Bombyx mori: one gene and its partners. The protein of the gene in region 2 binds, or shares a complex with, the protein of the main gene of each other region. Links are inferred from orthologs where the notes say so. Each region holds a gene or a part of one and is shown on either strand. Other genes may lie near its edges.

Region 1 (4,158 bases), on a different chromosome or scaffold from region 2:
TGTTATTCCTTCACCGTGGAAGTCATTCGTGAACATTTGTTGAGTACGTATTTCATTAGAAAAATTGGTACTTGCCTGGGATTCGAAAAACGGGTTATCGCTCAACACGAATGCACCGGACGTTTTATCCCTTAGGCCACGACGACTACATGTATAACGGACACCAATTTAAGATCGGTAGGTAGTGCAGAAGTAAGACACATTTTCTATGAGACTCATACTGTGGCACCATGGAAAAAGAATCCTAAACCATAAATCACCTTCCATTATTTTTAACCATAAAAAAGATGTTGCTTTGCATTTATAGAAACTTTCTTTTGTCCACACTAGGTGAAACTCAATATTGTATTTTATTGACATTTTATTTTTATATTCCAGAAAGCCAATGCTACTTTAAAAGAAGAGGACTTGAAGCACTTGAACAAACCAAACAGACTTCAGTACTTATGGTACCAGGGAAAATGCAATGTGGATATCACTTGGTGTACATAAAACAAATATTATTAACTAAAACTAATTTATTCAAAATTACAAAATAATTCATAATAAAAATCCTAAAACATGACATTTCTTATTCTTTCATTGGACTATATTGAACCATTGATTGCAGGAGCCCTAATATATAGCTACCTAAGTCTTCGTCTTGGTTTGTCCAAGAAACATAAATGTTTTTTGTGCTATCATCTTCACCTTCTACCTTGATGAGTACTGACTCAACTGATATGTTTCCTTCCGATATAGTTATAGTCCAGCCTTCTAATTTTTCCGTCAGTAAATTCTGCAATTTTTCAGCAGTCTTGATAGCTGGCCCCGGATCCTCAAAACGAACTGTACTTGTGAATCTAATGATATGCCTGTTTATTCCGATTTCATCACACATCTCATCAATGTCTAGTAATGATAGCCTGTTATCTTTCACACACAGAATCCCATTAACAACTCGCCTGCGTTTTGGATCAGGTGGTTGGGCATTGTATCTCACTGCTTCAGCTTTCAGCAACCTCAACGAGACATCAATAGGAATGGTTGTTGGAGTATTTATAACACATGTTTCACCATTAGCTGGCATAAAACAACTAATTTTGAATTCCTTCTCTATTTTATCTTTCAAAAACTCCATTTTTTGAGCTTCACCATGTACCAACAATACATTTTTGGGTTCACAATATTGTATCAATTGCATAATTCCTTTTGCATCAGCATGAGCTGAAAATGACATGTATTCTACTGCCATTTTAACTTCAACCACTTGTCTGTTTTCAAATTCAACCTTCTTTGCTCCATTGAGGATCTTGTGTCCGACTGTGCCTTGCACACAGAATCCTGGCATAATCACCATGTTCTGCTCATAAGGAGCCCATTTCTTAAAGATGTTTAGTGACAATCCAGCATGCAACATTCCAGGCGTAGCAAAAACTACCATAGCACCGGGATTATCAATGTATGTCTTGTCAAATGGTTTAATATGCTTAAAGTCAAACATATTTCTTTGAACAAATGTCTTTCTTATTTTTTGATTGGTCCATGTTATAAACATTTTATAGTAATTGTTTGCTTTTTCTGTCAGTCCAAGAGCAAAGTAAACTGGATATTTAAGATTCATACGATCCCAATATGTTTCCAATAAAATACAAAGTTCCTGTGCCCTTCCTAATGCAAACACCGGAATCAGAACCTTACCTCCTTTTTCTACACATTCATGAACTTTTTTGAGAAAATCTCTTTCACGACAGCGTTTTGAATCTCTTATGGTTGTTGCATATGTGGATTCTGTTATGAGCAGATCAGGTCTACATTTGTCAATCCAGGCGGCTCCTAAGTGCCTATCAGGTGTCATGTTGTAATCACCTGTGTAAACCACAGATTGTGACCCTACTCTGATCCAGAACATTGCAGCTCCTAAGACATGTCCTGCGTAATAAGCTTTGATTTCTAATTCATTATCCACCATTACTGATTGATGGAGAGTCACAGCTGTCACTTTTTTCATACAATCTTTAATCATTTGGGAAGTGAAGAAGTTTGACTCACCTTTGCGCTCCACTGCGACTTTCCTCATATCCTCGAGAAGGATTGGTGCTATGGCTTTAGTCGGGTGTGTCATGTAAATAGGGCCGGTATAACCAATCATTTCGGACATATAGGGCAGTGCACCGCAGTGATCTAGGTGAAAATGTGATATAATAACGCAGTCAATCTGACTCGTTATAGGGCCTTCCGGGACAATGTAAGAGAAATCAGGAAATCTTCTTTCATCGTTGTAGCCCATATGCATACCACAATCTAACATTATGTTTTTGCCACCCATGGTTAGCAAGATGCAGCTCCGACCAACATCCTGGCCCGCTCCGAGTGGCGTAATCTTAATATCCGGCATTATAAGTTTTACCACATCCAAGGAAGCTTATGAAAATATACGTTTCAAGATTATGAATATTAACGACACGAAATGATTCGCCAGTAGGTACCGTGGTGTATTAATAATCAGTACGATGTTTCATAAAAATAATTTATTACATACTGTTAAAACTCATTTAACCCTAAAACATGTTATTTATAAATAACAAACAATATTTTTTAAGTAATTTGCTGTTAATTATCATCACAATTCCGCAACATGGGTTGTATTATCTATAGTCACTAATGTCAAAGCGGTATGTGTATATCATTATTATTTTTTTAAGGTATTTTATGACCTGGTAACTAAGACTTTTAGGTCATGTCTTATTTTAATTTATATTCTTATTTTTATGAAAAATGATAAATGGAGTGAAATGAAATGAAGGTGATTAATTTGGGGCATTAATCAACTGGGATGAAATTAAATGAAAGGAGATGAAATGATATGGGATGAAATATAATCTCAGTAAAATGGCGGTCATTTACTGAGATTTTTCAGTAGACTTTTTGGAGGATCCAGAGAAGTTACGTCCAGCGGCTTGGCTTCATTTTCCCACATTTGTGCACTTTCACAGATATTAGGCAGTTAATAAACCAACGTTATTGTACATTTCAACCTGAAGAAACATTAAATAGACAAAATAAAACAAATCACTCAACTTCACTCCTCACGTTCCCACCAAAAAGTCGAAGTCAACAAGACATTACTTAAAGGTCTTAGTTATCAGGTCACAAATCCCTTAAAAAAATTGTGATAGTCTTTGTATGTATTGTTCTCAAATATATTAAGTGTATAATCTATGTGTATTATGTTGTGTTTTGGTTTAGGCTGTGCCATGGCTGTGCAAACAAAAGTGGGAATCGTATTACCAATTGAGCTTAAGTACTGATTTATAATATTTAACTTTATTGCAACACTAAAAATCGTTGTCTTAATTAATATCGTTTATTTATTCGACACCATTGAATTTCCTTAGGTTATGATTACTGTGTATAGCTTGTAAGTACTGTTGTGATAAGAGCCAAGAGAAACGCCTTATCAGCCAGAGCCGGTACCGAAGTGAGGACGTGTAAACTACATTTTCTATAACAATTTAAAATTTGATTGCCTAAAATTTGAATATGTCCGGAGATAGTTCTAATGTAATCGATCCGAAAAAAATTGCCTTAATAACTGGAATAACTGGCCAGGTATGTACTATCCTAAATGTTTAAAATGATTTTTTTACACGTACTTAATTTATTTAAATAATCATTCTGTTGAATTACCATAGCGGTACGTGTATCGTACCAAAAATTATTGTAAAAATAACAATGATTAAGAAATTAAAGTCGAAATCAAATTATATATATTTTTATTTTAACTCTTGGGTGTGCGGAGGGACTTCGCCGCTGAGGAATTTTTTGAGATGATACCATCATCTCGATTTTACCCTCACACCTACTACCTGGAGCCACTGAGTTCATCCACAGAGCATTTCCATCTTTTTTACCACGTACCATTCTGTTTTGGAATGAGCTCTCCTCATTTCCTGAACACTATGATATGTCCTTCTTCAAACGAGGTTTTTGGAGAGTACTTAGCGCTAGGCAGCGGAATGGCTCTGCCCCTGGCATTGCTGAAATCTATGGGCGACGGTAACCACTCACCATCAGGTGGGCGGTATGGCCAGAAAGAATAAAGAAAAAAAAACTTATTTTTTTTGTATCAAACTTCAGTGTTTGTGTCCAAACTTTACCTTGACAGTTTAATAATTA
Region 2 (3,500 bases):
ATTCCACAAATATTGAAGTCTCAAAGTATTTCCTTCGTATGCCCCACGTGCGTACAATATTACAAGAAATGCCTTCAATTTTTCTTGCGTGATTATCCAGGTTTTCCCCAAAACTCGAGAGGCTTCTAGCTCTGTACAAATTTTCGTTTTGACATTTTTAGGGGCTAAGGATATGCAGGCTACTTGCTGAACAACATATATTTGAATATTTTTCAAATACTCATAAATGTTTATTACGTGTCACTGTATGGGTAAAGATGAATGATTACGTTTGGAGATCGCTTGGACTAAGTACTCGTAAAAAAATCGTATAGATACCGTAATCGCCTAAATCGGCTCGATAACGATAACGTAATGAACAAAAGAAGCATGGGCACTATTTGTATTTTCACGGTCTCATGATTCTCCCGAAATCATACATTTCTTCCTAGAAACATGCACCAGTCATTTTGACTGGTTCTGGTATAAATAGTTATAACAAAAAATATATTTGTTACTAACATTATATAAAGTAAAATTAAGTTCATAAAATGTATTCTCTACTTATACCTACAAAAGTTATAACATCAATTTGGAAAGCAAATATTTAATGTAGTAGTCATTTTGAATTGAAGTTGCACGACCAGTCAAAATGACTGGTCTGGTAAATCTAGTGTTAATTAAGCAATTGTAATAAAGTTAATATGTCGGCAACTTTTTTTTATTAAAAGTAAATAAGAATAAAAAATTTCAGTAAATAAATAAGTATATATAAAATATTTTAAAAGTCTGCCAGACTGTCGCTCCCTTCGAGAGCCACCAGGAGAGTTTATTTTTATAGTCAAAAAGTATGTAAAACAACACTCGTTTTTTTTTTTAAATAATGTTATTGACTTTCTTTGCAATAAAAGTCTTACATTGTTTACATGATTCATGATCACCATAACTTTTAAGTTCTATTTCAAACGTTTTTTAATGTTATTATTAATTGATTATAATTAAGTGAAATAATCTTAATCGTATATAGATTCGTATGTAAGTGATAATTGTTTAATCACAATTACAAACCCAACAATAAACAAAACAACAACAACAAAATATATAATGTGTGCCTCTCCAATACATCTCAGAACAATGAATTTGAGGATTTTTTTTTTGTTATTTTCAGTGTAATAACGTTACAAGATGACGAGACCACGATACGAATGGTCGATGACGCTTTTGTTCGCATATGTTCGGCCGTGAACGATCTATGCATGCAAGTGCGAGCGCTCGCCTGCACGCTGCTCGGCACCACGCGCGCCGTTTCCGATCGCTTCCTGTTGCAGACCCTCGATAAACAACTAATGAGTAACATGAAGGTGATTACGGAACCAACACTAAATATACCATTGAAATACACATTTAAATATGTTCAGACATTATATGGATTAGAAACGCACACAAAAACGCTTATAATATTCATGTAAAGAAAAACCTTTAAAGCTCTTTTAGTTTTTTAGATTTTTCTGAGCACGGAAGCACTCACCTGTCATTCCATGAAGTGACTTGTTCAGTTTTGCATCTATATCTATAAATCTATAGTGGCTTTTACGGATGTTCCGTTATAATTACTGAACCATATATTCGATTGACTTGAAACTTGGTATCCATGTAGAAAATACATGTACTTAATGGATAGGCTAATATTTATATGAGCGTTGGACTCCCTACACCAGTTGTGGGGGCGTTAATGATAAGAATCTTTTTGGAGGGTGAGAAATAATAATATTAATTTTAAATGCCTAGCGAAGCGGACGGGTACAGCTAGTAGTATAATAATACTGCTTAAAATATTAATTTAAATACAGATTAAGGGCTTTAAATGTTGTTTTCTTATTTATATTACAGAAAACGCAATTAAGTCTTTGATTGTACTCATTCATTCTGGCGTATTTGATATCATTATATTCATAATATCATTATATCGCGTGTCAATTCGACCACGTCTTAATGTGATTTATTTGTTAAAACACCAGGCATATGCGTGGCGTTTGTACCGTGATCATGGAAGCAGCCTTCCTTGGTCTCATTAGCTTTATCTCATATCTAATTCACATTTAATTATAGTGTAAATTGAATATAATACAGAAAAAGCGCACAGCACACGAGCGCGGCGCGGAGCTGGTCCGCAGCGGCGCGTGGGCGAGCGGGCGGCGCTGGGCGGACGACGCGCCCGGCGCGCTGGTGCCGTCCGCCGCCGTGCAGCTGCTGCCGGGCGGGGCGGCCGGCGCCTTTGTGCACGGACTCGAGGACGAACTCATGGGTCAGAGCATAGATAATACACATAATTTAGTTATAGATAAGCAACTCAAGCACTCAACAAAAATGTTTATGGGCGTCGGCCACTAGATGGCTACGCTTCGATTAGTTTTTCATTGCTCCTGTAGATGACAATAACATATTAAGCATCGCAGGCTTTATTTAAAAAAAAGTATATTTTCAGAAACCCCAAAGTGATAAAATTTAATCAATTTTTCTATAACAAATAAAGGCTTGTAAGATTTACAATATTTTTTATAATCGAATTTAATTATTGTTTTCAACGTAATAATTTGTTCTAATTGTTCTTTATGTTCCCAGAGGTGCGCACGGCAGCCGTCGAAGCATTGTGTCAACTCTCACTAGAAAACCCGGTGTTCGCGACCACCTCCCTCGACTTTTTGGTGGACATGTTCAATGACGAGATCGAGGAAGTGCGGCTGCGAGCCATCGACGCCCTCACGAGGATCTCGCATCATATCGTACTTAGAGAAGACCTACTGGAGACCATACTAGGAGCCTTGGAGGTCAGTCCCGGAGATACTAGAAGCTGATAATAGTCTATTTGTAATACAGTTGTAGGAGCAGCCGTAGTTAAGCTGCTTCAACTGGCTAGATTGTCTAGGCATTGACTCGGAAGATAGGTAGCACAGAGAAAATGAATATTGTTATGCCTTTTAGGTTACGTATATTGTATATAAGATTGGATTTATGTACAATATAGGTAAATTAGCACATAAGTAACTCTAAATAAACGCAAGTAAAGAAGCATCTCCGAACCTGTTCCGAACAAAAATAGCGTATGATTGGCCTAAAATCATAAGCGACAGCGATTTTACCAAAATTGAAAGGCGGTTGCCCAAGTAGTGGTATGAAGTGGCGGGTAAGTGAGTCGCCACACAGTCCTTGTGATGCTATGAAGCCCGCAAGTCACCCTCCTGCTTGGTTTGTTCAGGAAGAACTCATGCGCTCCGTTTTCATGGATGGTGGAGCAGTGATTAATACAACTGCGACTCTACGACATCTATTACCACTTTTCCCTGATGGCAGAGAGAGAGAGAGAGAGAGAGAGAAGGCGAGAGAAAGAGAGAGAGAAGGCGAGAGAAAGAGAGAGAATGAAAGTTATTTTCTAATTTTTTTCCTAAGTAACTAAACAGAAATCTGCCACCATCAAACTTCACCTCTTTCTACGAAAAAGGGCAATTTAGTTTTTACTGGAA
Region 3 (4,081 bases), on a different chromosome or scaffold from region 2:
GCGACGCCTCGGCCGCCGGCGACACCACGTACAGCGGCACGTGCGCCAGCCCCGCCGTGTCCAGGTGCGCCGACAGGCACTCCAGCAGGTCGTACAGCACGCCGCTGGGGTACACGGGGCACAGCACGGAGCCGCCGGCGCGCAGCGTGACGGTGGCGTGCACGCACAGGTCGCCCAGCATGTGGTCCGGGTTGTGCGCCGGCGTCTGCGTGAGCGCGGCCAGCACCAGCAGGTCGGCGCCCCGCAGAGCCGCCTGGTTGATGGGGCGCGGGTGCGTGGTGAGCGTGCTGGAGCCGCTCACGTAGGCGACCTTCTCGTGGGCGGAGCGCAGCACCCAGTTGGCGGAGCCCAGACAGAAGCCGGAGCTGACGGCGGTGGCGTCGAGCGCGCCGTACAGGTCGACCTTCTCGTCGTAGCCGACCACGCGGACGCGCGCGAGGGCGCGGGCGACGTGGTGCGGGGCGAGCAGGCGGCGCCACGCGCGGGGCCGCACCACGTCGGCGAGGGGGGCGGGCAGCACGTGCACCGCCTCCTTCCAACGCTTGGCCGAGCCCGACCCCGACCCGCTTGAGCACACCCACTCCGACAGCTCCTCCAGGTAGAACCTCCAAATATATTATCTTTATTACATCTTTCTGCTGCTTCAATCCATTCTGATACTGTACTTTCAATAAGCATATTCTGTTTACAATAATATGGTGTTGTTATATACTCTATAACCATATATACAATACAGAAATGTATATTTTTTATCATTATACTTTTGAAGGCATAAAAAGAATAGAGAATGAATACCTTCCTATTTGTAGAGTAGGTTCAGTGGCATACACTTGGCCCTTGAAACCTGTATCTTCTGTTATAAAAGGCAGGGCCAGCATGCAAGTGTAATTTGAGATTAAAATTACATCTAGCTGAGAAAAATCGACTACTTTATCGAGAGGCGGACAAAACTCAGGCATGCTATCAACAAACACTCTGCCGCAACACTCCTTTAGTTCCTGTAATGAGATGGGTTAGTTTAAATATCACCTGATATTGATTCTGTTTTTATTATAAAGAAATATCATTAAATTTAACATGTTATTACTTATTTGACATAGGGTTTTTAATCATAGCATTGGAGTCAGATTTAAAATATGAGTCCCTTTGATTTTTTATATCAGAAATCTGTTGAATGCAGTTTGGAAGGTACGTGTAATGTAACTGAGAGATACAGTTGGATAAGTTTAAAAATTATTTTAATGAGGAGTTTTGAGTTTTTTATTAATTTAATGTTTGTATATAAAATAATTAATTGATGAAATGTGTTTTTTTGCTTAAAGACTGTACCTAATGGATTCACCAGAGAATAAGCATTCTGTGAGTATTAAAGCAGCATACTGACTATACCATATTTAGTGGTGGATTCAGTATCCTGTCTGTTTTTGCTGTGATTGCCTCTTGTTTGAAGAATGGAACAACCATCATACAATACAACTGAGAATTCAACTTCATGTTTCAAGGTGGGTGGTGGTAATAATGTTGTCATGACCAGAGACTCCAGTAACCACTTTATACCTAGGTACTGATATATAAATAATGATAATAAGAAATGTAATAAGCTTAATTTTTATACCCCTTCCAAGAGTGGATCATTGTGATGTGGTGGTGTGTAATTAGGCAGGGATGCGAGTCGAGTGCTAGGCACTGGAGGCAGCGGTAGGAAGTTGAGCACAGAGTGGGATGACAGCCCACAATCCAACATTATGAGGAGCTCTTTGAAAGACAACACAAAGCAAGGCTTCGCTGCATCATTGCTTAAACAATACTGTAATCAAATCAAACATTGTTTAAGGTAAGCACTGGTTATATTATTTATAAGTCAGGGGTCCATATGGTAATGCTCAATTAAACAGATATGCCAGAATAGTGGAGCCATCCTGGTATTTTAAAGCCACACCTATTTTTCTGTCCCTATAGTACCTGTATAACAGCTGTGATCTTAGAGTACACATAGAATGATTTATGACAATTTCAAACCATTCTACTTATTTCTGTTCAGACACAATCATGCATTCCGATTTAACTGGTTAGTCATTGGATCCAAGCAATCAATACTTCAATAGAAGAGAGGGACAAATTCTTAGAGGTATCATTCATCTTGTGGTGCCTTTAGTCTCTAGTATTAGGTTCATATCCCAAAAAGCTATGAAATAATCACTTAAACAAAATTGTATGTAAAAATTGTGGGGATGTGGGAGACTGCCTCTCTACCCAGGATATCATTACAGTAAAAACGTATGGGCTGTTCTTGTAAAATAATTTACTATATTAATAAACTACTTGCAAATGGAGCACTCCACTGCAATTTGGTTTGTTTTCGCGTCCTGCAGGTTTAATTCTAACACAATCTTCTAATAGTATGAATTCTAATATTATTTTTGTATTTTGTGTTTCAAGTTCAACTCTTACATATTTTTCAAGTGTTTTGAATAAATTAGTGAAGATATTGCATACTTACAAGCTTCATTATTAGTTTATATATTATATTTCGAATTTGCGGACGAATATTGTTTATTACTAAAGTATGTTTATGTATTAGTAACTGCTTTATCAATTTGTCCGGCTTCAATATTATTTTTGCTTAGGTTTGATGAACCGTTTATTCAGTGTATTGCATAGATAATACATAACTGTACAACATCATTAATTGAAATAAATGAATATTAGGTACATAAGTACTTTCAAAATAGCTAAACAAAATATATTTATATTATGTAGGTAGGTAGGTTCTAGTTACCTACCTACAGATATTATCTGTCAGATAAGCATTTGATTGTTTTAATCGACAGGCAAAGGGAGCATATTCAATACATACAACTAAATATTTGTAACAAACGAGTTATATCTGTTGTGTAAAAGTAAAATGAAACAAACGATATTAAATGTAATTCATTAATTAACAAAATTTGTACTACGGTTCCATATTCGTTGAATTTGTTATTCGGAAACAATGAAACTCGTTGCATTTGCATTCCTCGGGAAAAAGAGTTAGCCGTATCACTCTCTAGTCCATTTTTTTTCCTACCTATGCTGATAGCCGTGAGAGGCTATTTCAGCTTCGCCCTAACGTGTAGGTGAACTCACGGTGCTCAAACCGGAAGTATTGCTAACACTGGCCCTAGCAAGAGCAGAGAAACTCAGTGTGCTATGTCTATGGGTTAATTTACTCGTCGAGCCCTTCGTCACAAGCGACGGGTTCGGCGAGGACGGTGACCGGTGCTTGAGGTGTGTACTTAAAAGTACCGATAATGAATCGGGAGGATCCGTAATGACGTGTTTAGAGCGACGTCGACTTGTTACCGTTCGGTCCACAGGATCGGGTATGTCTATTTATTAAGCTATTTGTAAAACCTTTGGTAAGTAATATATTATGAACCATGAAATACATTGTTATTATTATACTGTACTGTATAGCAGATATACCTAGTGTTATTCCAGTCAAGTTTAGTGTGATAAAAATTAGATTATCTACTTGTCAATTCAGATTATAAATTATGTTGGTGGGAAGTCATATCCAAGTCCGTTATGCTATTATTGTACACAACATTTGTTACGTTGTTGTAGGTAATTATATATTTTATATGTATACAGTGTAAGTGTAAGAATAGTCGTCGTGGCCTAAGCGATAAGACGTCCGGTGCATTCGTGTTGAGCGATGCACCAGTGTTCGAATCTCAGGCGGGTACCAATTTTTCTAATGAAATACGTACTCAACAAATGTTTACGATTGACTTCCACGGTGAAGGAATAACATCGTGTAATAAAAATCAAACCCGCAAAATTATAATTTGCATAATTACTGGTGGTAGGACCTCTTGTGTGTCCGCGCGGGCGGTGCCACCGCCCTGCCTATTTCAGTCGTGAAGCAGTAATGCGTTTCGGTTTGAAGGGTGGGGCAGCCGTTGTAACTATACTGAGACCCTTAGAACTTATATCTCAAGGTTGGTGGCGCATTTACGTTGTAGATGTCTATGGGCTCCAGTAACCACTTAACACCAGGTGGGCTGTGAGCTCGTCCACCCATCCAAGCAATAAAAAA

Evidence for each region. Proteins that work in one complex are often made in the same cells at the same time.
Region 1: the proteins of integrator complex subunit 4 (region 2) and integrator complex subunit 11 are in contact, whole or in part, in a cryo-EM structure (PDB 7SN8), measured with the Drosophila melanogaster proteins. The link is inferred for Bombyx mori from reciprocal best matches to the Drosophila melanogaster genes IntS4 and IntS11. Residues at the interface, in NP_572488.1 of Drosophila melanogaster: Arg226, Ser227, Gly228, Gln233, Lys256, Phe259, Tyr260, Asp262, Ser263, Gln264, Lys299, Asp300, Asp301, Cys349, Leu351, Lys380, Lys381, Ile437, Glu441, Glu443, Phe444, Leu445, Glu446, Arg448, Asp471, Phe472, Asp475, Asn478, Glu480, Ile481; in NP_651721.1 of Drosophila melanogaster: Thr182, Pro183, Arg185, Gly188, Ala189, Trp191, Ile192, Asp193, Lys194, Arg196, Ile210, Arg211, Asp212, Ser213, Lys214, Arg215, Arg258, Asn287, Gln288, Lys289, Lys292, Thr293, Met299, Gln400, Asn404, Asn469, Ala470, Pro472, Pro473, Pro475.
Region 3: the proteins of integrator complex subunit 4 (region 2) and integrator complex subunit 9 are in contact, whole or in part, in a cryo-EM structure (PDB 7SN8), measured with the Drosophila melanogaster proteins. The link is inferred for Bombyx mori from reciprocal best matches to the Drosophila melanogaster genes IntS4 and IntS9. Residues at the interface, in NP_572488.1 of Drosophila melanogaster: Arg105, Leu108, Val112, Thr115, Asp116, Asp147, Thr148, Ser149, Lys153, Glu156, Gln193, Met196, Arg200, His231, Lys234, Gln264, Asp265, Ser266, Arg269, Tyr302; in NP_648838.3 of Drosophila melanogaster: Arg2, Arg23, Met88, Lys90, Met91, Asp93, Glu96, Asp98, Arg173, Lys176, Asp203, Leu205, Gly206, Gly500, Glu501, Ile502, Arg504, Val544, Lys545, Asp546.

The regions. Positions count from the first base shown.
Region 1 is NC_085124.1:3,287,827-3,291,984, forward strand, and holds integrator complex subunit 11, read right to left. Parts: upstream 2,689-4,158; 5' UTR 2,378-2,688; coding exon 572-2,377; 3' UTR 501-571; downstream 1-500. Other genes in the region: probable tubulin polyglutamylase ttll-15, read left to right, coding at 379-492; GDP-mannose 4,6 dehydratase, read left to right, coding at 3,523-3,591. UniProt on the Drosophila melanogaster protein: RNA endonuclease component of the integrator complex, a multiprotein complex that terminates RNA polymerase II (Pol II) transcription in the promoter-proximal region of genes.
Region 2 is NC_085121.1:12,652,344-12,655,843, reverse strand, and holds part of integrator complex subunit 4, read left to right. Parts: intron 1-1,147; coding exon 1,148-1,340; intron 1,341-2,109; coding exon 2,110-2,284; intron 2,285-2,601; coding exon 2,602-2,807; intron 2,808-3,500. UniProt on the Drosophila melanogaster protein: Component of the integrator complex, a multiprotein complex that terminates RNA polymerase II (Pol II) transcription in the promoter-proximal region of genes.
Region 3 is NC_085111.1:141,753-145,833, forward strand, and holds the start of integrator complex subunit 9, read right to left. Parts: upstream 2,801-4,081; 5' UTR 2,510-2,800; coding exon 2,501-2,509; intron 1,808-2,500; coding exon 1,616-1,807; intron 999-1,615; coding exon 796-998; intron 606-795; coding exon 1-605. UniProt on the Drosophila melanogaster protein: Component of the integrator complex, a multiprotein complex that terminates RNA polymerase II (Pol II) transcription in the promoter-proximal region of genes.